Linked DNA regions of Arabidopsis thaliana. The protein of the gene in region 2 interacts with the protein of the main gene of each other region in a biochemical or structural test. Each region holds a gene or a part of one and is shown on either strand. Other genes may lie near its edges. The genes, in order: RPM1, FLS2, UBQ3 and RPS2.

Region 1 (6,229 bases), on a different chromosome or scaffold from region 2:
TTCTTCACGCGTTTATGTGCTTTCTCTCTGCCTTTACATGCACTAATGTCTTTTGTTTCACAGATAACTCGGAGAGGGCTTTCTACAAGGAGCTAGTTAAAGTCATTGAATTGTCTGATGTCATTTTGGAGGTTCTTGATGCCCGTGATCCTCTTGGCACTCGTTGTACTGACATGGAGAGGATGGTGATGCAAGCCGGTCCCAATAAGCATCTTGTGTTGCTGCTGAACAAGATTGGTAAGTTCATATATTCAGTCTTTACTCGTGGACGTAATAAGTTGTTTGTTTACTCTGGGTGGTGTAATTAATTTTTGTAACTGATTCACTCTCTCCAGATCTTGTTCCCCGAGAGGCTGCTGAGAAATGGCTTATGTACCTTAGGGAAGAATTTCCAGCTGTTGCCTTCAAGTGTAGCACCCAGGAACAGAGATCAAACTTGGGTTGGAAATCATCTAAGGCATCAAAACCAAGCAATATGTTGCAGACGAGTGATTGTCTTGGAGCAGACACTCTTATCAAATTGTTGAAGAACTACTCAAGAAGTCATGAGGTTGGTTCCATAGTTTAAACTTTAATCATCCTACCTTAGCATCAAGTTATATCATTCAGTTTCAATTAAATCTTCCTTTGTTGTTCTTTGGCAGTTAAAAAAATCTATCACAGTTGGTATTATTGGACTGCCTAATGTCGGCAAGAGTAGTCTTATTAACAGTCTGAAGAGAGCGCATGTTGTCAATGTTGGTGCCACTCCTGGACTGACTAGATCTCTGCAAGAGGTTCACTTGGACAAAAACGTGAAGTTGCTGGATTGTCCTGGAGTTGTGATGTTGAAATCATCAGGAAATGATGCTTCCATAGCTCTCCGAAATTGTAAAAGAATCGAGAAGTTGGATGACCCAGTTAGTCCAGGTAATTGGATATAAGCTCAAGATAGAATCACACTTATTTTTGTGCTTTGTCTTTTAAAGGTTATAATCTGAGTGACCTAACTTGGAAATCTTCTGCTTTGTGAAAAAAATAGTGAAGGAAATTCTCAAGCTTTGTCCTAAAGATATGCTGGTGACTCTCTACAAAATCCCGAGCTTCGAGGCAGTTGATGATTTCCTTTACAAAGTCGCCACTGTAAGGGGTAAACTTAAAAAGGGTGGTCTTGTGGATATTGATGCTGCTGCCAGAATTGTTTTGCATGACTGGAATGAAGGTGCGGATCTTTTTTTGTTCCTCGTAAACTTGAAGCGTAAAAGCATTTTTGAAAACCAGTTTCTTAACTCATCATTGTCTCTAATATGAATGGTTATGCAGGTAAAATCCCATACTATACAATGCCGCCAAAGAGGGACCAGGGTGGACATGCAGAGTCAAAGATTGTGACTGAGCTGGCCAAGGATTTCAACATCGATGAGGTTTACAGTGGTGAATCCTCTTTCATTGGGAGCTTGAAGACGGTTAACGAATTCAACCCTGTTATTATTCCTTCAAATGGTCCTCTCAATTTCGATGAAACTATGATCGAGGTTGGTAACTTCTCTCGTGATTCCATTTGCTTGTAAATGACTCGGTCTGGATTTAATCTTTGTTTATGATGATGTATCACAAAAAAAAAAAACAGGATGAGTCTAAGACGCAGACGGAAGAGGAGGCTGAGCATGAGAGTGATGATGATGAGTCAATGGGAGGGGAGGAGGAGGAAGAGGCAGGAAAGACGAAGGAGAAATCAGAGACGGGGAGGCAGAACGTGAAGCTATACGCAGCGGAAAGCATGTTGAATACAAAGAAACAGAAAGCAGAGAAGAAGAAGAGGAAGAAAGCAAAGAAAGCAGGAGCTGATGAGGAGGATCTGATGGACGGAGATTATGATTTCAAAGTGGATTATAGGAAGAACAAAGATGGAGAAGACGAAGAATTCCAGATTGATGCTAAAATCCCAATGGCTGGACTTTTGCCTGAAGAATGAGTGATTGGAAACCACAACGTTTTTTTTTTTTTTTTTTTTTGTATTTGGCGTTTATGAGTCGGTCGGTTAAACTTTCTGATATATGTGCTTCATGAACTAGTAGTAATACTGAAGCGATTTTGATTTCTTTAATTAACGTTTCTTCTATTCCAATTCTGCTTTGCTTAACAAATATCTTAAGAACATTCAAAAATCATTGAGGTAAGTGTACTTCTTCGCCCTTCAGAAGAAAGTAATAATCTTTTACCCTTTCAGTTTCAGGTAACGAATGACGAAAACAACACCCGAGTTCAGTACATCAGATTTCTCTGTCTCTCTCTTGGAACTTCCAAACTCGACCATATCCGTCAAATTGAATTCCAAGTTGCAAATGTGAAAGCAGTTTAAACCCGTGTTGACTTTAACGCAAGTAAAGGACGTTGACTTTGTTGAGGTCCTTAAGGATAATTGATCAAAATGTTATGTGGCAGGCATGTAAGGTGTGAACCGAAAGCTTGGCTTTGCTCAAATTCAGCAAGTTCACCAAGAGAAACTAAATCAGTGAAGGAAAAAAGGTTCAAGCGAGACTCTGAGGAAGATGGCTTCGGCTACTGTTGATTTTGGGATCGGACGGATTCTTAGTGTCCTGGAAAACGAGACCTTGTTATTGTCAGGAGTCCATGGTGAGATTGATAAAATGAAGAAGGAGTTGCTGATCATGAAGTCCTTTCTTGAGGATACTCATAAACATGGTGGAAATGGATCCACAACAACAACAACTCAACTCTTCCAAACTTTTGTGGCAAACACGAGAGATTTGGCTTACCAAATCGAAGACATTCTCGACGAGTTTGGCTATCACATCCACGGTTATCGTAGCTGCGCCAAAATTTGGCGTGCGTTTCATTTCCCGAGGTATATGTGGGCGAGGCACTCGATAGCTCAAAAGCTAGGAATGGTTAATGTCATGATTCAATCCATTTCTGATTCCATGAAAAGGTACTATCATTCAGAAAACTACCAAGCAGCATTATTACCGCCTATTGATGATGGCGATGCAAAGTGGGTGAACAACATCAGTGAGTCATCTCTTTTCTTTAGTGAAAATAGTCTTGTAGGGATTGATGCACCCAAGGGAAAGCTCATCGGACGGCTTCTAAGTCCCGAACCTCAGCGGATTGTTGTCGCGGTGGTTGGGATGGGCGGTTCAGGGAAAACTACACTCTCAGCGAATATCTTCAAGTCTCAAAGTGTGCGGAGGCATTTTGAGTCTTACGCTTGGGTTACAATCTCGAAATCTTATGTGATTGAAGATGTGTTTAGGACCATGATCAAGGAGTTTTACAAAGAAGCAGATACACAGATTCCAGCTGAATTATACTCCTTAGGCTACAGAGAGTTGGTGGAAAAACTTGTGGAGTATTTGCAGTCGAAGAGGTACATTGTTGTGCTTGATGATGTATGGACCACTGGTCTATGGAGGGAGATAAGTATTGCTTTACCAGATGGTATTTATGGAAGTCGTGTTATGATGACTACTCGGGACATGAACGTGGCTTCTTTCCCATATGGAATTGGGAGCACAAAGCACGAGATTGAGCTCTTAAAAGAAGACGAAGCTTGGGTGCTTTTCTCCAACAAAGCTTTTCCGGCAAGTCTTGAGCAATGCAGAACGCAGAATTTGGAGCCGATAGCACGAAAATTAGTCGAGAGATGTCAGGGTTTGCCATTAGCTATTGCTTCTTTGGGAAGCATGATGTCAACCAAGAAGTTTGAATCAGAATGGAAGAAAGTCTACAGTACTTTAAACTGGGAACTGAACAACAATCATGAACTCAAGATTGTTCGAAGCATTATGTTCCTTAGCTTCAATGATTTGCCATACCCGCTTAAACGTTGTTTCTTATATTGTTCTCTTTTCCCTGTGAACTATCGGATGAAAAGAAAGAGGCTCATTAGGATGTGGATGGCACAAAGGTTTGTGGAACCGATCAGAGGAGTGAAAGCAGAAGAAGTGGCTGATAGTTACCTCAATGAACTTGTTTACAGAAATATGCTTCAAGTTATCTTGTGGAATCCTTTTGGACGACCCAAGGCGTTCAAGATGCATGACGTGATATGGGAGATTGCTCTATCTGTATCCAAACTTGAGAGGTTCTGTGATGTATATAATGATGACAGTGATGGTGATGATGCTGCAGAAACAATGGAGAATTACGGTAGTCGCCATTTATGCATTCAGAAAGAGATGACACCTGATAGTATACGTGCAACAAACCTTCACTCTCTTTTGGTTTGCTCTTCTGCTAAACACAAGATGGAATTACTTCCAAGTCTGAACCTTCTGAGAGCCTTAGACCTTGAAGACTCTTCCATCAGCAAGTTACCAGATTGTTTAGTAACTATGTTCAACTTAAAGTACTTGAATTTGTCCAAGACACAGGTGAAAGAACTGCCAAAAAACTTCCATAAACTCGTCAATTTGGAGACGTTGAACACAAAGCACTCCAAGATTGAGGAACTTCCTCTAGGGATGTGGAAATTGAAGAAGTTGCGATATCTCATTACTTTTCGCCGCAATGAAGGACATGATTCCAATTGGAATTATGTTTTAGGTACAAGGGTTGTTCCTAAAATCTGGCAGTTGAAGGATTTGCAAGTCATGGACTGCTTCAACGCAGAAGATGAGCTTATCAAAAATCTCGGGTGTATGACTCAGCTCACAAGAATAAGTCTTGTCATGGTTAGGAGAGAACATGGAAGAGACTTGTGCGATTCACTGAATAAGATTAAAAGAATTCGATTCTTATCTTTAACGTCGATTGATGAAGAGGAACCGTTAGAGATAGATGACCTGATCGCAACTGCAAGCATTGAGAAGCTCTTTCTTGCTGGGAAACTGGAGAGAGTACCAAGTTGGTTCAACACTCTTCAAAACCTTACCTATTTGGGTTTGCGTGGATCTCAGCTACAGGAAAACGCCATTCTCTCTATCCAAACGCTTCCTAGATTGGTATGGCTTTCATTTTACAATGCATACATGGGACCTAGGTTGCGTTTTGCACAAGGATTTCAGAATCTGAAGATTCTAGAGATAGTTCAGATGAAACATCTGACAGAAGTTGTTATAGAAGACGGTGCAATGTTTGAGCTTCAGAAGCTTTATGTCAGGGCTTGTAGAGGGTTAGAGTACGTACCAAGAGGAATTGAGAATCTTATAAATCTTCAAGAACTGCATTTGATTCATGTTTCTAATCAGTTAGTAGAACGCATTCGCGGAGAAGGGAGTGTGGACCGGTCAAGGGTTAAACACATTCCTGCGATTAAGCATTATTTCAGAACTGATAATGGCTCTTTCTATGTGAGCCTCTCATCTTAGGCGGCCAAGGCAAGCTTCATCATACAAGATACTGCACACTGTACTGTGAAAATCAGGGATGGATATTCACATAACTACTAAACGCCATGAGCTTACCAAACAGATTGATTGTCATGTGTTGTCTTTGAAAGTCAACAATCAGGTCTTCTCTTCACTCAAAGACAACATTTTTTTGCTGGTCTCATGAGTCAGTGCTAATGACTAAACAGCTCACTTCACAGCAGTTTCCACTGTTTTTTTTCGAAATTCATTTAAGTAAGATTTAATATGGTCAGCTGATTGTTCTGTAATTCTGTGTAAACATTACTTTGTTAAGACCTTAATATTGTTGACATTGTTATTTGAGTATCGGCTTCAACCAAGAAATTCCACTACCGTGTTAGTCTTCTAAATGAAAGTGGCTCATTCACAATCCCAAAAGTTAGGACCTTTACACTAATCGAAATAACCAGATACAGTTGGACTAAATACTTAATACTACTCCAAAACATTCCATTTTAAATTTCTCCTTAACTGATGGAAAAGTTTTGAAATTTTGAAAAGAAGAAAGTAAAAAAAATCTTGTTATCAACGATCCGCGGCGGTTAAAACGGAGATTATTATTGATGGATGGATATCTGGTCATTCGTGTTATCCACGTGCAACTAACGCACGTAAAAGACATACTAACCTCCCCGAAAATCGGATCCGGATCCGAAAATATCTGACCCGTTTTGAAGCGGTTTGACGAAAGACCGTTTTGGGCCTAGTCAATAGTAAAAATTAAAAACTCAAGGCTCTTTGGTGTCCCTTGGTATTACTATCGGCCTTTCCCGATGCTCTTTCTTCTTCATCTTGAAACTCGCGATTCCTTCTTCTCCTTCTAGGGTTTATTACTAAGGGTTTCTCTATCCTTAAATCTCATCTCTGTCCTTTCT
Region 2 (6,862 bases):
TATAAATTCGAATATAGAGAAAATATGAAATTTTGTAAGTGTTATTAGACATCCAAATTTTAAAACCGCGTAAACTACACTACAATTTAAAATCGGAGTATGTAACCTACATAGAGCCTAACCACCTCCTAAGCCGTATTTAATAACATTGTTATATTATGTAAAGATATGATATATATCGTTAAGTAATATTATGTAGTGAAAATCCGTCACAAATCATAATAACTTGTAGTGATCAAACTTCTTGTATATAATCTACTTTGTTCTCGCGAGCACCTTAATCAATCATCCCATTTAAAAAATTTCTTTTTGCTATTAACATCTTAAATGTTAAATCTATCATTGAGCAATGTAACAGTTCTGTGTGAAGAAACAAGGAATCACTTACTTCTACATTGTCTCTTTACAAAGGAAATTTGGCACATGATAATGCTTCGGTTTGGGCAATCTCCTTATATCTTTGCAGACTTGTCTATTACCATAGGTAATCATATAAAAGTTATTATATATGAACAATGTTCCTATGGTAATAGAAATTCACATTTTATTAAAAAAACTGATACGAATAATTCAAAGAAATAAAATAACTTTTATATGATTGTCCATAAGATATAGTCAAAACGCAAAAGACTTTGCTCTAAGAAATATTAAAAAGAAAAACAACAAGACGAGGATTATTTCTTTTCAATAATTAAAACATTAGTATAAATACAATCACATGCTTAATGTAATAATGTGACAGTTTGGCCGAGTGGTCTAAGGCGCCAGATTTAGGCTCTGGTCCGAAAGGGCGTGGGTTCAAATCCCACAGCTGTCAATTTGTTTTTTTCTTTGACTCCTTTGTTCATCTTTATTTTAAAATCAATATAAACCCTTTTCGGACATTCTAAATATTTTGACCCAACCTAATGATATTCATTATTTGTCTAACGGGTCAACTTTCAAGTCTTCAAGTAAACATGATATGGAATTATATGGGTCAACTCCAAGTAAGAACAGTGCATGCATCTTGAAGACAAAATTGATTTTTTTTTTTGTTTTTAATTAATGGAAATTTTGAAATACTAATGGGTCAAGATGAGGTTGTCCAAATCAACTGATATCATATATGACCAGATTCCTCAATAGTCATTAGTCAATACAAAATCCATAATCTTTTTTAAAAATATAATCTTTTTATTTTAAATCGCCTATTTTTTTCCATTCATTTGTCCAATGTGAAAAGCCATAAATCATATATTAAGAAGTTGTGAATTGTGATCATAGGAGTAATATTTCTATCTGAACAAAAATTGAATTTTGTTTTGCTTTTTGTTGAAAGATAAATAAAATGTTTGGCAGATTGTTTGTACAGAACACAACTTGTTGATAAAACAAATTCCATCAAGACAGCTAATGAGCTTTTGATAGTCAGAGCTTTGAAGACGTGTTAATGAATTAAACTGATTAGACCTAAAACCAAATATTTAGAAAGAAAAAAATATGATAATTGTTATGTTATTTAATCAATAGTCAAATACTATGTTGAGTACCAATCATTTCAGTTTCAACGATTGCTACTCTTTTGACCAATAACAAAAAGGTTTTTATTTTTCATTTCTCAAACTCCATTTTTGTTTGTTTTTAGCATAAAAACAGCTAGAATGTGAGTTTCATATGTATTATATACTATAAGAAATCATATAAATTAACGACTAGAACATATTGTTTTCATTCTAGTGGTATATCTGAGTTTGACTAGAACGTTTGGAGGCAGATTAAAGTGATTTCGCCTTGTCAAAACTACTTTGTATATGTTATCAATCAATCGCTCAAAACTAAATCGGAAAAAAACTACATAAATAAGATATGGAAAATGATACTAACACAAACTAGTAAGTAAGTAGTCACTACATATTCTGGTCCCATGAATATGGCTTACATAGTACATACATTGTGAGATTAAATGAATATGATATATAATACAAGCATATAAGCATGTGCATGACTATGAAGTGGGAATACATTTAGTGCCTTTATATGCAACTTGACAGAATTACCAATTATGTGAATAGTGAAACTTATATTGCGTCTTGGCCTTTTCACATCCGTGACATGATCCCTCAAATCTATATCTTCTTGCGGCATATGCTTATATATAAACATATGACTTCGTCTATAGATTTATATCCAGATAATTAATTCTCTCATAATATCTTCTCCACAATTTCAACTCTTCTAAAGTCTAAACCATGAAGTTACTCTCAAAGACCTTTTTGATATTAACTCTCACCTTCTTCTTCTTTGGCATTGCACTAGCGAAACAGAGCTTTGAACCAGAGATCGAAGCTTTGAAATCCTTCAAGAATGGTATTTCCAACGACCCTTTAGGAGTATTATCAGATTGGACCATCATCGGTTCGTTACGACACTGTAATTGGACCGGAATCACCTGCGATAGTACCGGACATGTAGTCTCGGTTTCCTTGCTGGAGAAGCAACTTGAAGGTGTTCTGTCTCCAGCCATAGCGAATCTCACCTATCTCCAGGTTCTTGATCTCACTTCAAATAGTTTTACCGGCAAAATACCGGCTGAAATAGGAAAGTTAACCGAGCTTAACCAGCTTATTCTGTACCTAAACTATTTCTCTGGTTCGATTCCTTCTGGAATCTGGGAGCTTAAGAATATTTTCTATCTTGATCTTAGAAATAATTTGTTGTCCGGTGATGTTCCTGAGGAAATCTGCAAAACCAGTTCTTTGGTATTGATTGGGTTTGATTACAACAACTTAACCGGGAAAATACCAGAATGCTTAGGAGATTTGGTTCATCTCCAAATGTTTGTAGCAGCTGGTAACCATTTAACTGGTTCGATTCCGGTATCAATTGGTACTCTGGCTAATTTAACGGATTTAGACCTGAGTGGTAACCAGTTAACCGGAAAAATACCGAGAGATTTTGGAAATCTCTTGAACTTACAGTCTCTCGTTTTAACTGAAAACTTGTTGGAAGGAGATATACCAGCTGAGATCGGAAACTGCTCGAGCTTGGTCCAACTTGAGCTTTACGATAACCAGTTAACCGGGAAAATACCAGCTGAATTAGGGAATTTGGTTCAGCTGCAAGCACTCCGGATATACAAGAACAAACTTACTTCTTCAATTCCATCTTCATTGTTCCGGTTAACTCAGTTAACCCATTTGGGGTTATCAGAAAACCATTTGGTTGGACCGATATCAGAAGAAATCGGTTTTCTTGAGTCACTTGAAGTCCTCACACTTCATTCCAACAACTTCACAGGAGAGTTTCCACAGTCCATCACAAACTTGAGGAACTTGACAGTCCTAACGGTGGGGTTCAATAATATTTCCGGTGAGCTCCCGGCGGATCTAGGGCTTCTTACAAACCTTCGGAACCTTTCAGCGCACGACAATCTTCTTACCGGACCAATACCTTCCAGCATAAGTAACTGCACCGGTCTTAAACTCCTGGACCTGTCTCACAACCAAATGACTGGCGAGATCCCGCGGGGTTTCGGAAGGATGAATCTTACGTTCATTTCTATTGGGAGGAATCATTTCACCGGTGAAATTCCAGATGATATCTTCAACTGTTCAAACTTGGAAACTCTTAGTGTGGCAGATAACAACTTAACAGGAACTCTCAAGCCATTAATTGGGAAGCTTCAAAAACTCAGGATTTTGCAAGTTTCATATAACTCTCTCACTGGACCGATTCCTCGAGAAATCGGGAATCTGAAAGATTTGAATATCTTGTACCTTCACTCTAATGGTTTCACAGGGAGAATCCCGAGAGAGATGTCGAATCTCACTCTCCTCCAGGGGCTAAGGATGTATTCAAATGATCTTGAAGGTCCAATTCCTGAAGAAATGTTTGATATGAAGCTACTCTCAGTTCTTGATCTTTCCAACAACAAATTCTCAGGTCAAATTCCTGCCTTGTTCTCCAAGCTTGAATCGCTTACCTACTTGAGTCTTCAAGGAAACAAATTCAACGGGTCTATCCCTGCAAGCCTTAAGTCGCTTTCGCTTCTCAACACATTCGATATCTCCGACAATCTTCTCACTGGAACCATCCCTGGAGAGCTGTTAGCTTCTTTGAAAAACATGCAGCTTTACCTCAACTTCTCAAACAACTTGTTGACTGGAACCATCCCAAAGGAGCTTGGAAAGCTTGAAATGGTTCAAGAAATCGACCTTTCAAACAATCTCTTTTCTGGGTCTATTCCAAGATCTTTACAGGCCTGCAAAAATGTGTTCACACTGGATTTTTCGCAGAACAATCTCTCGGGTCATATACCAGATGAAGTCTTCCAAGGCATGGATATGATCATAAGCTTGAACCTTTCAAGGAACAGTTTCTCTGGAGAAATCCCTCAGAGCTTCGGGAACATGACGCATTTGGTCTCCTTGGATCTCTCTAGTAACAATCTCACTGGTGAAATTCCAGAGAGTCTCGCCAATCTTTCGACTCTGAAACATCTCAAACTAGCTTCAAACAACCTCAAAGGCCATGTTCCTGAATCCGGGGTGTTCAAAAACATCAACGCCTCTGATCTAATGGGAAACACAGATCTCTGTGGTAGCAAGAAGCCTCTCAAGCCATGTACGATCAAGCAGAAGTCGAGCCACTTCTCGAAGAGAACCAGAGTCATCCTGATTATTCTTGGATCAGCCGCGGCTCTTCTTCTTGTCCTGCTTCTTGTTCTGATTCTAACCTGTTGCAAGAAAAAAGAAAAAAAGATTGAAAATTCATCAGAGTCCTCATTACCGGATTTGGATTCAGCTCTGAAACTGAAGAGATTTGAACCAAAAGAGTTGGAGCAAGCAACAGATTCATTCAACAGTGCCAACATCATTGGCTCAAGCAGCTTAAGCACAGTGTACAAAGGTCAGCTAGAAGATGGGACAGTGATTGCAGTAAAAGTATTGAATCTAAAGGAATTCTCTGCAGAATCAGACAAGTGGTTCTACACAGAAGCTAAAACATTGAGCCAACTAAAACATCGAAACCTGGTGAAGATCTTAGGGTTTGCGTGGGAAAGCGGCAAAACGAAAGCTTTAGTGCTTCCATTTATGGAGAATGGAAACTTGGAGGACACCATTCACGGCTCTGCAGCACCGATTGGGTCGCTTTTAGAAAAAATCGATCTTTGTGTTCATATCGCAAGCGGAATCGATTATCTTCATTCTGGATATGGTTTTCCCATCGTTCATTGTGATCTGAAGCCAGCTAATATACTCCTTGACAGTGACCGCGTTGCTCACGTAAGCGATTTTGGAACTGCTCGGATTCTAGGTTTCCGCGAAGATGGAAGCACCACAGCTTCAACATCAGCCTTCGAGGGTACAATTGGATACTTAGCTCCAGGTAAATTACTCACAACACTTAATTTTCAAAACCCTAATTATGCCATCGACTTACTTGAAATACACTCTTATTTTTCATGAACAGAGTTTGCTTATATGAGGAAAGTGACAACAAAAGCCGATGTATTCAGCTTCGGGATCATAATGATGGAGCTGATGACGAAACAGAGACCAACTTCGTTGAATGATGAAGATTCACAAGACATGACTTTGCGCCAATTGGTGGAGAAATCGATTGGAAATGGAAGAAAAGGGATGGTTAGGGTTCTTGATATGGAACTCGGGGACTCTATTGTTTCTCTGAAACAGGAAGAGGCTATTGAAGACTTTCTGAAGCTTTGTTTGTTCTGTACAAGCTCTAGACCTGAAGATCGACCTGATATGAACGAGATTCTTACACATCTGATGAAACTTAGAGGCAAAGCGAATTCATTTCGAGAAGATCGTAACGAGGATCGAGAAGTTTAGCAGCAAAGCTTTTTTGATGACATTTTTTCGACTTTGCCAAACTCTGTTACGAAGGTTGAATACTTTGGACGTAAAACGTTCTGATTTTGCTTTTCGTTATGTATTTCTGTTTTATATAAGGTTGAAATTTGGTTTTGATGAACTTTTTCATATACAAATGCATTAGGCTACACATGGATACTATAGTTTCTTATTGCAGGCAGATCAGGAATAAGGTTCGTCAAGTTTTTGTCATCATGATGGAGATGACGTTTGTCCCTTCCATTTAATCATGAAACAATACCACTGCTAGTATCGGACAATAGGCAATCTCACGACGGTTATCGAGAACACAGAAGATGACTCAAAGATCAATGCCACACAAGACAATTGTGTAGACTTGCCAAGTAATAGCTGTGAAAACTAGAGTCATTACATTTTCATCTCCCCGGGTAATGTTTTCCATTCTCGGCTAGCGAACCGCAGAAATTGCAAGACTAGACTGATAGAAAACCATGTCAGTGACTGTTGAGAATGAATTCTTCTTTAAAACTTTGCAATTTCATATAATTCTTTAACATCACTATACATTTTTGGACGAACTACATATTGTTTGCTTAATCCTTACAAAACAAAATCTAAAGAATATAGCACAAAAAATTGAAAACTTTAAATCGGAGACAATTACTTCGCTTTTGTATGGCAATAGAGAAAAGTAGTTGAGCGATGTTGGTCTATGCGGTTCTTGGTTCTGCCTTTGGTGAACGTCCTTTGAAGCTGAATGTGCACAAGAAAATGATCAACAAAACTAACTTGTCTTTTTACTTATTTTCCTTTGCTTTGATGCGACCACAATGAAGAAACACAAAGAACAAACACTTGTTTTTGCCTGTAAATGACAGAAATCAACAAAGTTTTCGTTAGATTTTTTATGAGTGGATGGCCAATGAGAATGATTTGGGGACTCACGGTTTCTAACGATGAATCTGAAGAAGAACGAATGAGAAGCAATAGAGTGGAAGAGCGATGGCAATCCCAGCTATGAA
Region 3 (4,100 bases), about 18 Mb from region 2:
CACCAATCGTAGTAATACTTCTTTTTGTGTTTGTTGAAATTTTGCAAGATTCTCTCTTCCTCTGGTTAATACACATAACTTACTTGGTAAGCTTGGCTGCATTTTCTTTTCAAGCTTTTAATCAAAGACTCACTAGAAATTGCAAAGGCAAACATAAAATTATGTGATCAAACTCCTACTGTGAGTTTTTGGTTACAAACAAAAGTTAAAAACAAAAGCTTGATATTTAAAAGATAAACTCAACACATATGCATTTGACTGGCGCACAGAAGACAATTCAAGACTTGGGAAAACAGTGAGCCATCAAAATCGTCAGATAATTCAGGGAATATATTGAATGTGGAGATGTGGTAATCACACTATTGCACACAAAGAGTGGCAAACAAGCGGCGCCCTTGGTTTGGTATAGTAAGAGACAATTGTTTTGGACTGTTTGTGTTGCCATATTCACAAAAATACTATTGAGCTATGTATGTTAAACATTATGGTCAATGAGTAGTAGTGAACATTCAAGTTTTTTTTTTTTTCCACTTCAAGTTTTTCATCTTATTATTATTTTTCGTTGTGATGCAGTAGTACGGCCCATCTTCACCAGTAGTATATCAAAGCCGAAACAGATGACAAATTGTTTAACATGCACTTGGATTATTATTGAGAGTTGAAATACAAAGGCCCGTTACAAGCCCAAACGAAGGTACATAAAAGAAAAGCAGAAAATGAAAACGAAATCGATAGGGATAAGTTTTTCCAACTGACGGAAACACAAACTACACCAGGTGAAATAGATCACCTCCCAAGTGCATGAGACACGAACCAACCACTTATCATCAGATCACAAAAAGCTTAGAAGCTTCCACCACGAAGACGAAGAACCAAGTGAAGAGTCGACTCCTTCTGGATGTTGTAATCTGCAAGTGTGCGACCATCCTCAAGCTGTTTTCCAGCGAAGATGAGTCTCTGTTGGTCTGGTGGGATCCCTTCCTTGTCCTGAATCTTAGCCTTGACATTATCGATGGTGTCTGAGCTTTCAACCTCCAGAGTAATGGTCTTTCCGGTAAGGGTCTTCACAAAGATCTGCATACCACCACGGAGACGAAGCACAAGATGAAGTGTCGACTCCTTTTGGATGTTGTAATCTGCAAGGGTGCGTCCATCTTCGAGCTGCTTACCGGCAAAGATAAGCCTCTGCTGATCCGGAGGAATTCCCTCTTTATCTTGGATCTTAGCTTTGACATTGTCAATGGTGTCTGAACTCTCAACCTCAAGGGTGATTGTTTTACCAGTGAGGGTCTTGACAAAGATTTGCATACCACCTCTGAGACGAAGCACCAAATGAAGGGTCGACTCCTTTTGAATGTTGTAGTCAGCAAGAGTTCTTCCGTCTTCAAGCTGCTTACCGGCAAAGATAAGTCTCTGCTGATCCGGAGGGATTCCTTCCTTGTCCTGGATCTTTGCTTTGACGTTGTCAATAGTGTCAGAGCTCTCAACCTCCAAAGTAATGGTCTTGCCAGTCAGAGTCTTGACAAAGATTTGCATACCACCTCTTAAACGGAGAACCAAATGAAGGGTTGATTCTTTCTGAATGTTGTAATCGGCCAAGGTACGGCCATCTTCTAGCTGTTTACCGGCGAATATTAATCTTTGCTGATCCGGAGGAATGCCTTCCTTGTCCTGAATCTTTGCCTTAACATTGTCGATGGTGTCAGAGCTCTCAACCTCGAGAGTGATAGTCTTGCCAGTGAGTGTTTTCACGAAGATTTGCATCTGAAATAAAACAATAGAACAAGTAGAAACCAATCAGCGAACATATACCAAATCAAAAGCCGTAAGAGAAATCAAAACAACACCAAAGAGAAACGGATCTAAACATAAGAAACCTAAAACAGAGAGAATCGAACAAAGAAAACACAAAAATTGAATAGATCGTCCTTGAAAATCCTAATTTCACAATCAAGCAAGAAATTACACAGATGTAAACACTACGAATCGATATCTTAGTAATCAGGACAAAATTTAGAAGCTGGATTGACGAAACGAACAATATTGTCAAAAGCAATTTATACAAAAGATTCAATAATCCACATAACAAAAATTGGAGATCAGATACGAATCAAAAACAAAAAGAATCAGAAAATATACCTTGAAAGAGAGAGTCGCGAGAGATTTGCAGAGATCGCTTTAGGCTTTGGGAGAGATTGAAGAGTCAGAAAAAGACGAAAGGATGAATTATTATCTTCCACACGAAGGTCTTCTTTATATCGCAAACCAAAAGCCCAAAACCGTCTTTTCTATTAATGAGAATAAAATATCTTTAGCCAAAACAAAAAAAGGAAGATATCAGTTGAGGATTATTATCACGAAACTAAAGGAAGGAATCATATGATACGTGTCATATTTTCCACCGTGCGTTTTTAAAAGACCGACTCAAGTAGAAACATCCTATGGTGGTGGTTGGATTAGGTCATCCATTACATCTGCTTCACTGACATTTTTCTATTTTTCTTTTTGTATATACTTTTCCTCAAATAATTTCTTTCTTTTCTATAGAAGAATTTAATCAATAAGGAAAAAGTTCAAAAAAGATTCTTTCCATTAAGACTATGTCTTGGTTAACCCAACCCATTAAGAATAAGCAATCATAATATATATAGAGAATACTAATACTATATATGAGATTTTTCTTTTAATTTCATGTTGATTATGATAGTTTATCTTCTTGATTTAATTTATCAATACTTGGCATAAAAGATTCTAATCTACTCTAATAAAGAAAAGAAAAAAAAGTATCTACCATTGACTAATTAAAATAAGGAAACTTATCTACCAAATTTGAGTATTTTTTAGAACAATCTTTTTGGTTTAATTCCAAAACTCTAAACCTAATTGTTGGGAAAAAGGACCTAATTTTTAAGAAAAGTTAATAATTAGAAGATCTGTATGTTTTTTTTTTTGATCCAAGTTTTTATTTCTTTTCTCTTTTTTTCATGATAAAATCTATGTTTTTTTAGTCTACAATTAAAGTAATTGTTATTATTTTCTTTATCTTTTTTTGTTGTTGTTGTTAATTCCCTTTTTTTTTTTTTAACAGCAACTTCTTAAAAAAAAAAACAGTTGGGCCTTGAATTTATTTCAGGCCTGCGTTATTAAGCCCAGATAATAACTCAAAACAAAAAAAATGTTGAACCGGAATAAACCCGCGAGATTAAATGCCGGTTTTCAGGTAACATAGAAGAAGAATATATGAGGATTGAAGAAGTATTCAAGAGGCGGAACAATTCACAAGTCCAAGAGCTTAAATTTCTCCTCACTCTTCTGCTACAGACTCGGAACTCTTTCTCTTTGCTAAAATAAGATGTTCAGGATTTTTGTTGCCCGACAATTCATGTATCTCACACTCTCTCTCTTCTCTGTTCTTACTACTCTGTTACATTACCACCAACTCAAGACTTTCTTCCACAATGGCGTTTATGAGACTTGGCTCCAAATCCGAAGCTTTCCATCGTGAAGGCCAAACCTGGTATTCTTTCTTCTGCATTGAATTAGACTAATCGACTTATAAGTCTTTGTTTCCGGTTTCGAGATCGAATTCTCTTCAATGTCGTTAATTTCTCTTGATTTTATATGTAATCAAGCTCTCATCTTTTTGTTGAAATCGAAATGGGCTCTTCCTAGAATCGTTAGTTATTGATGCAAGTTTCAAAGATCATATTTTTTTTGGAATTTAGCTCTGATTGATTTGTGACATCAATAATCAATTTTGTACGGACAAGTATATTCTGTTTTGGGTGGTGGTTTATGTCTCTCTCTTGTCTTACAGGCTTTGCACTACAGGACTCGTGAGTGATGTTACCATTGAAGTTGGAGACATGAAGTTTCATCTCCACAAGGTTAAATTTTCTCTATCTTCTCTGTTTATTTAGTCCTAGTTTTGATGTAATTGCATAAATGTGAAAGCTTGATGATCTAACTGTGTAATGTGTGTTCTTGATTTGTGTGTAGTTTCCGTTACTATCTAGAAGTGGGCTTCTTGAGAGGTTAATCGAAGAGTCTTCAACTGATGATGGATCAGGCTGTGTGTTGAGCTTAGATGAGATACCGGG
Region 4 (5,931 bases), on a different chromosome or scaffold from region 2:
TCATTGTTGAATCCAAGGGGAGGAAGAAGGGCGACCACATATGGAATCATCTCGACGGAGAGTTTCAGGGGCTCTTGATAACTCAGGGAATATTTCGAACCAACCGACATCCTCAAGTGCTAGAGACTCCATGGTATGAATCTCTCTGCATTTGCTATCTCTCTCACCTGCAAACATGAGTTTGGGTCATATGTGATTTAGTGGCTAAAAGTATCAAAACTTTGTTCAATTTCTTTTGGATGCAGATCCCGAGCTCCTCGTTGTTTGCACAATCAGCAGGATCATCGAGGAGAGTAACTGCAGTAAGTGGCAGCCGGGACAATTTTCCAGGCAGCGAGGAGTTGTTGCAGAGAAGCCGTACAGGTGACGTCAGCCGCGGCGTGATCCCGAGAAACTCTCCTGGGGAGGCTGGGAAATCCACAAGAAGACACTACGAATCAGTAGTTAAAGGCATCGATAATCTTCAAGTCTCGGACGAACACCATCCCCACTGATACATTAATTTTACTCAGTGACCTTTTTATTCCTTTTTCCGTTATTACACTACGAAAATTTGAAAATACAATTTGATTGATCCACCATGAAATTTGGTCTTCACTACAATATCTATGATTATTGGGGCTCAAACGTAACAATTAAAAATAAAGATGCACAAATGCAAAATTCTTCTTCTCCGATCCGGTTCTGCAATTTCACCGGATCCGGTTCAGCTCATTAGCTCAATTCTTCACAGTCGTCGTCCATGCTTTCTCACTTCTTACTGGAGGTCTAATCTGAGGTGACGATTCCCAGAATTGTTGCAGAGATCTGATAAACTTGTTCGTCTTCACTGATCGGAACTGGAGCTTGGAGTTTCTATATCGACGATACTCGGTGAGTCTTCGTCCTCATAGTCGTGAGATCTATTTGATCGCGGATAGTTTGGTTTTTATGATTACATAATCTCTAGTTTTGTGGTCTAGTGGAAAGTTGATGACTTCACTGGAACAACCTTCCTGGCTTCCTGCTACTTATGAATGGACATATTTGTACAGAGTGCTCTTAGCTCTTATATCAATTTGGAACAAAGCGCGGTAAATAACAAAGCTCTTCGTTTGGTTGATCTTTTTCCAGTGCTTTCCACCATTTCTCCTCACAATAAACTGTTGGCAAGTTCATCTGGGTCCTCCTCTCCTGAAACGGCAGTTTCTTAACTCTGGGGCAATTTGTGATGACTAATGTTTCAACTTTTTGGAATGAAAATCGAGATGGGAGGATGCTGTTTAGTTCTGGCAGATCCCTAGTTCTCAAGGTCTTCAGGCTTGGGAACAATGTTGGATCTTCGACGGATGGACTCTCGTGTTCGCTTATCAATTCCTCTATCTCTCTGCAGTCGAACAGTTCAATCACCTCTAGCTTTGGGAGTTTCTGAACCCATGAGACATTCTTCAGCTTGTTGCAGTGTGAAATGTTTATGCAACGGATATTCCGCAGACAATCTTGGCTTACAGAATTTCCCCACACTCTGGTTAAGTTGTGAAGGCTGTGTAACGTCAGAACCTCTAGACTCGGAAGCCAATCATTTTCAAAATCTGCGGGTGTGACCAGGTACTCCAAGTCATGGCAACTTTTAATGCTAAGTCTTCTCAGGTTCCTGCCATGGTTAGTGAGTGATGGGAGATTGAAGTAGAGGAGTTCATTGCACTCTTCAACGTGGAGATGCTGTATATGTTTATGCAAAGCACCGAACTCGAAGAGAGTTTTTAGGGTCTCCAATGAGAGAACAGTGATACCGAGTGTGGTTAGGTTTTCCAAGTATTCCAAGTCAGCGAATCCGAGTTCTTCTGCTTCATCTTCTCCAAAGCTCTGCAGTTCCCAACCGGCGTAACTGTAGTACAAGTTCAGAACCTCGAGCTTGCTCAGCCAACATATGGCATCTCGTGGGATCGTCTGAAGAAACTGAGTTCTTTGTAGGTCCAGATGCTTCAGTTTTCTAAGATTCCCAAGCTCCTGTGGCAATACACTTATCTTTGTTCCTGACATAGACAGATGATACAACTCCACCAAATACTTGATAGACAACGGAATCTCAGTGATACTTGTGAACGACAAGTCCAAGACTCTGAGAACAGGCATATGCATGAAAAACCCTGTTGGAATCTTCTTCAAAGAGCTGTTCTGTTGGAGCATCAGTGTTGTCAGTTTCGGGCATATGAGTTTTTCAGGCAAGGTCTGGATTCTGTTATCTAACAATGAGATCACCAACGCTTGTCGCCAGTTTTCTGCTTTAGGAGCTTCAGTATGTCCCATGCTAGGCTCAACTAGGATCAGCTCCTTATAAGTCCCCTGTTCAGATGCCATCCACAATGCAAAGCTTCTGACCACATTATGCATCTTCACCTGTGTTTTCTCATCTCCGGTTTCCAACAAACATGCCGCTTTCAGATCCCCAATGAGAAAATATCCCTTGTAAATGGTGTTAACGCCATGGGAGCTGGTGAGAAACCCTTCGCCGACCCAGTACTCAACAAGCTGCTCGATCTCTATAGAATGTTCTTCTGGGAATAAAGCGCAGTACAAGAAACAAGACCGAAGCAGATCACTCTCGAGGTTGTCGTAGCTGAATTTCAAAAGGGCAAATACATAGTTCATACCCTTCATCTCTGCTGGAAATCTAGTCAGAACTTCACTAGCATGGATCCACTCTTCTTCTGTCTCTCTATGAGCCATGGCTCCTCCTAAAGTGATCAACGCTAGTGGCAATCCTCCACATTTACTCACTATAATCTCCGCGAGCCGGCGAATTGATGATGACTCTAAAAGATCTTTTCTCCATACCTTACTACAGAACAGCTCCCACGCGTGTTTCTTCTCCAGAAACTCCACTCTCAACTTGTATTCCGCACCCATATTGTTGCATAATGCTATAGACCGTGTCGTGAACATCACCTTGCATTTGTTTTCCCTGTCAGGTCGAGGAACTCCAGTTTTCTCCAAGTCTATCTCTTCCCAGACATCATCTAGCAACAACAAGAAACGTTTCTGTCTCAAAGCTCTGTATATCTTCAAAGCTCTGTTTTCGCCGGTCTCCTTCTCGTCCCAAGATAAACCCAACCGTGCTCCAACGGCTTGCTGAATTGTACACTCGCCGAATTCTCTGGACATTTGAACCCAAATCAGTACATCATACTGATGTCCTTTTGTGATCAGCTCGTTGTTAATGCTCTGCATTAACGTTGTCTTCCCAACCCCACCAGGTCCATAAACACCAATGATTCCTCTTTCTTCTTCTTCACTGAGAAATTCCAAAACCTGTTCCATCATCGTGGTATTTCCGACAACGGACTTGATGGGTATCTCTCTACAAGTTACTTGAATTGACCCGCCATCTGTTTTGATAGCTTCAGAGCGTTCTCTCAGCTCACCAATGCTCTTCAATATGGCAGAAACCTTCTTGCACAGTTTGTAGTCGGCACAACCGAAACAACTGAGGTATCTCCTCCTCATTCGCGTCCTCTGTTCCCGACGCCTAAACCTCACTAAAAGTAGGGCTGTTTTAGTCTCCGTTACTTGCACCGCACTAAGCCACTCTCTGGCACGATTTGAGCAGCTTCGTCCCTCTAGACCGTCTTGTTGGATCCGTAAAGTCAGGTCATCACGTATGGCCTTCAAGTCACCGATGGCTGTTTCAAGATCAGTGATGGCTTGTCTAAGATCAGTCTTATGTCCTCTTCTCTCCGCCATATTCATAGATTCACACAACACCTGAGCACAGCCAACGATAAGAGATGAGATGAAATCCATTTCGATGATTTCTCGCTCTTTCTTTTACTTGTCTGAGCTAACTAACTAATAAAGATGAGGTGTTGACTCATAAAGATTAAAGTAAAGTCAACTTTAATAAAGCTGTCTTGCTTGCTTGTATGACTTGGTTCAAGAAACGAGTAGAGAGAGATAGGAATCTTCCTCGAAGTCTCGAACTGTTGTTTGCATGCTTGTAATTTCTACTGGCCAAGTGAAGGCCCGATAACAAAATTGGCCCTCTAAGAGCCTTTTAATGCCTATAGGGTTTTTTTGTTGGGTCAACAATTCCAATGATGGTGCATTTTTTTTATGTTGAATATATACAAGATTTGTTGCATATTAAAAAGACTGGTCAAGTAAAGTGTTTCACCGAAAATGGGAGACATCAAGTACTTATGAATGATGATATATGTACCGTTCTTTAGAATTAGTTCTGTGACTTTATTACGAGTTAGAACAAACCTACTTCTACTTCTCTTATCCACTTTGCCCGCAATCGCAAGGAAAGCTAACAAATTCAATTAATCACACATTAAACAAAATAAATTACTAGTGTTCATATTTGTCTCGGCTTTCTTCTCAGTTTATCTAAAAGAAATAGCTTTCAATAAAAAATCAATGTTTTTTCTACTTTTGTAATAATTTGTAAAAAAAAAACGGTAGATGATTGGTACATTGTATTTGAGGTGTCTTGGGTATTTTGTCTCTTGCCCATCATCCAAAGCCCACTTTCACACATCTCCCATATGAATAACATATCATTACACATTGTCCAAAGAAAACCGCACAAGTGGCATCAAACATATGGAACATGAATAAATACTTCTTTTTTATCTATCTGTTGACGAATAAATATTTATTGAGATATTAGAGAAAATAGAATAATAATGAGGAGAGGAAAAAAGAGAGTTTAAAGACAAGATATTTACGGAATTTAATGGGACGAAAGAAAAATAATATAAAAGGGGGACCTGTCTTTGTCAGTGCAATGAACCTTTTTTTCTTTCGATCAAATCTCTCCCGCCACCCAACTAACACATCTTAAACCGTACACGTCACCCTCTCTCCTTCCCATTTTCTTCGTCTACGTGTCGACCATCCACCGGTTTTTGTTTTCTGCTAAACGTGGGACCTATTCACATTTTTATTTTATTTTAAAAAATTGGACGGATTCTTTCATGTTCTTTGGGTCGTTGCATAATTATGTCCATGAGTCTATCCATCAAAATACCTTCGGAATCATCTTTTTATTTTATATATATACTGCGACAACAATAATTTTATGTTTTGTACTGTCTTTTCTGGTCAATAAAAAAAACTAAAAATTTGGTCGAATTTAATGGACTTCCATGACCAACTCTTCATTTCCCTTAAGGATAAATTGAGAAGAAAATTATATACTGGAATTTGAAAAAGCTTTATATAATTGTAACGTATTTTTATAATTGCACGACAAATCTCTTTTCTTGATTTTTTGTATGAAACTACAAAGACCAATTTTTCTAACAACTAAGATTCAGTTATTATTTTTGGTCACATAAATAAATGAGACGATAACTTCATAATGGTTTTGGTTTTGAGTTTGACCAAAAATGGTTTTCAAGATAAATAATTAGATGAATAATGAAACGTACCCCTTAAATAACAATTATTTAGATATTTTACCGGTGGTCTTTCATTTTTCCCGAATATAAAACATTGAATTCTTATCTAAAGGACAAAGTATTGTTCTTATTCTGAAAATGACACAAATTTAAAATTTTTATTTAAATCTATGAATATCTAAATGGTATATTATGTTTGGTGTTTTTTAGTCCAATGATTAGGAATTACGAATAATGTTTTCGTAATTCAAACTCTATTTATTTAGATTGAAAACTATATGACAAATAAAATAATTGCAAAACAATACAAGATTTAACTCGGACTACGACACGTCATTTAATGAAAGTCATCTTTATGAAAATATAAAATCCATTAAACTGATGACCTAACTAAAGTTAAAAGCAAACATATTTTATTTTGTTTGACAAACAAAAAAGAAATATATTTCTCCCAAAGAAAAAAAAAACCAAAAAACTTTATGTTTGTTAAAAAAATAAGAAATGATAAAAGCATTTTTTTTAAAAAAAATGTTGAATATAGGAA

What was found.
Region 1: the proteins of FLS2 (region 2) and RPM1 form a complex in vitro, tested with the Arabidopsis thaliana proteins (one study listed by BioGRID).
Region 3: the proteins of FLS2 (region 2) and UBQ3 form a complex in vitro, tested with the Arabidopsis thaliana proteins (one study listed by BioGRID).
Region 4: the proteins of FLS2 (region 2) and RPS2 form a complex in vitro, tested with the Arabidopsis thaliana proteins (one study listed by BioGRID).

What each region holds. Positions count from the first base shown.
Region 1 is NC_003074.8:2,225,327-2,231,555, reverse strand, and holds RPM1 (NB-ARC domain-containing disease resistance protein), read left to right. Parts: upstream 1-2,000; 5' UTR 2,001-2,531; coding exon 2,532-5,312; 3' UTR 5,313-5,701; downstream 5,702-6,229. Other genes in the region: NSN1 (GTP-binding family protein), read left to right, coding at 64-237, 336-550, 645-909, 1,022-1,201, 1,303-1,514, 1,610-1,954.
Region 2 is NC_003076.8:18,789,571-18,796,432, forward strand, and holds FLS2 (Leucine-rich receptor-like protein kinase family protein), read left to right. Parts: upstream 1-2,004; 5' UTR 2,005-2,231; coding exon 2,232-5,370; intron 5,371-5,454; coding exon 5,455-5,837; 3' UTR 5,838-6,338; downstream 6,339-6,862. Other genes in the region: RWA1 (O-acetyltransferase family protein), read right to left, coding at 6,791-6,862.
Region 3 is NC_003076.8:771,133-775,232, forward strand, and holds UBQ3 (polyubiquitin 3), read right to left. Parts: upstream 2,382-4,100; 5' UTR 2,140-2,381; exon of another isoform or gene 1,765-2,139; coding exon 844-1,764; 3' UTR 528-843; downstream 1-527. Other genes in the region: AT5G03250 (Phototropic-responsive NPH3 family protein), read left to right, coding at 3,459-3,517, 3,818-3,887, 4,000-4,100.
Region 4 is NC_003075.7:13,222,448-13,228,378, reverse strand, and holds RPS2 (NB-ARC domain-containing disease resistance protein), read right to left. Parts: upstream 4,042-5,931; 5' UTR 3,784-4,041; coding exon 1,054-3,783; 3' UTR 507-1,053; downstream 1-506. Other genes in the region: CK1 (casein kinase 1), read left to right, coding at 18-133, 246-494.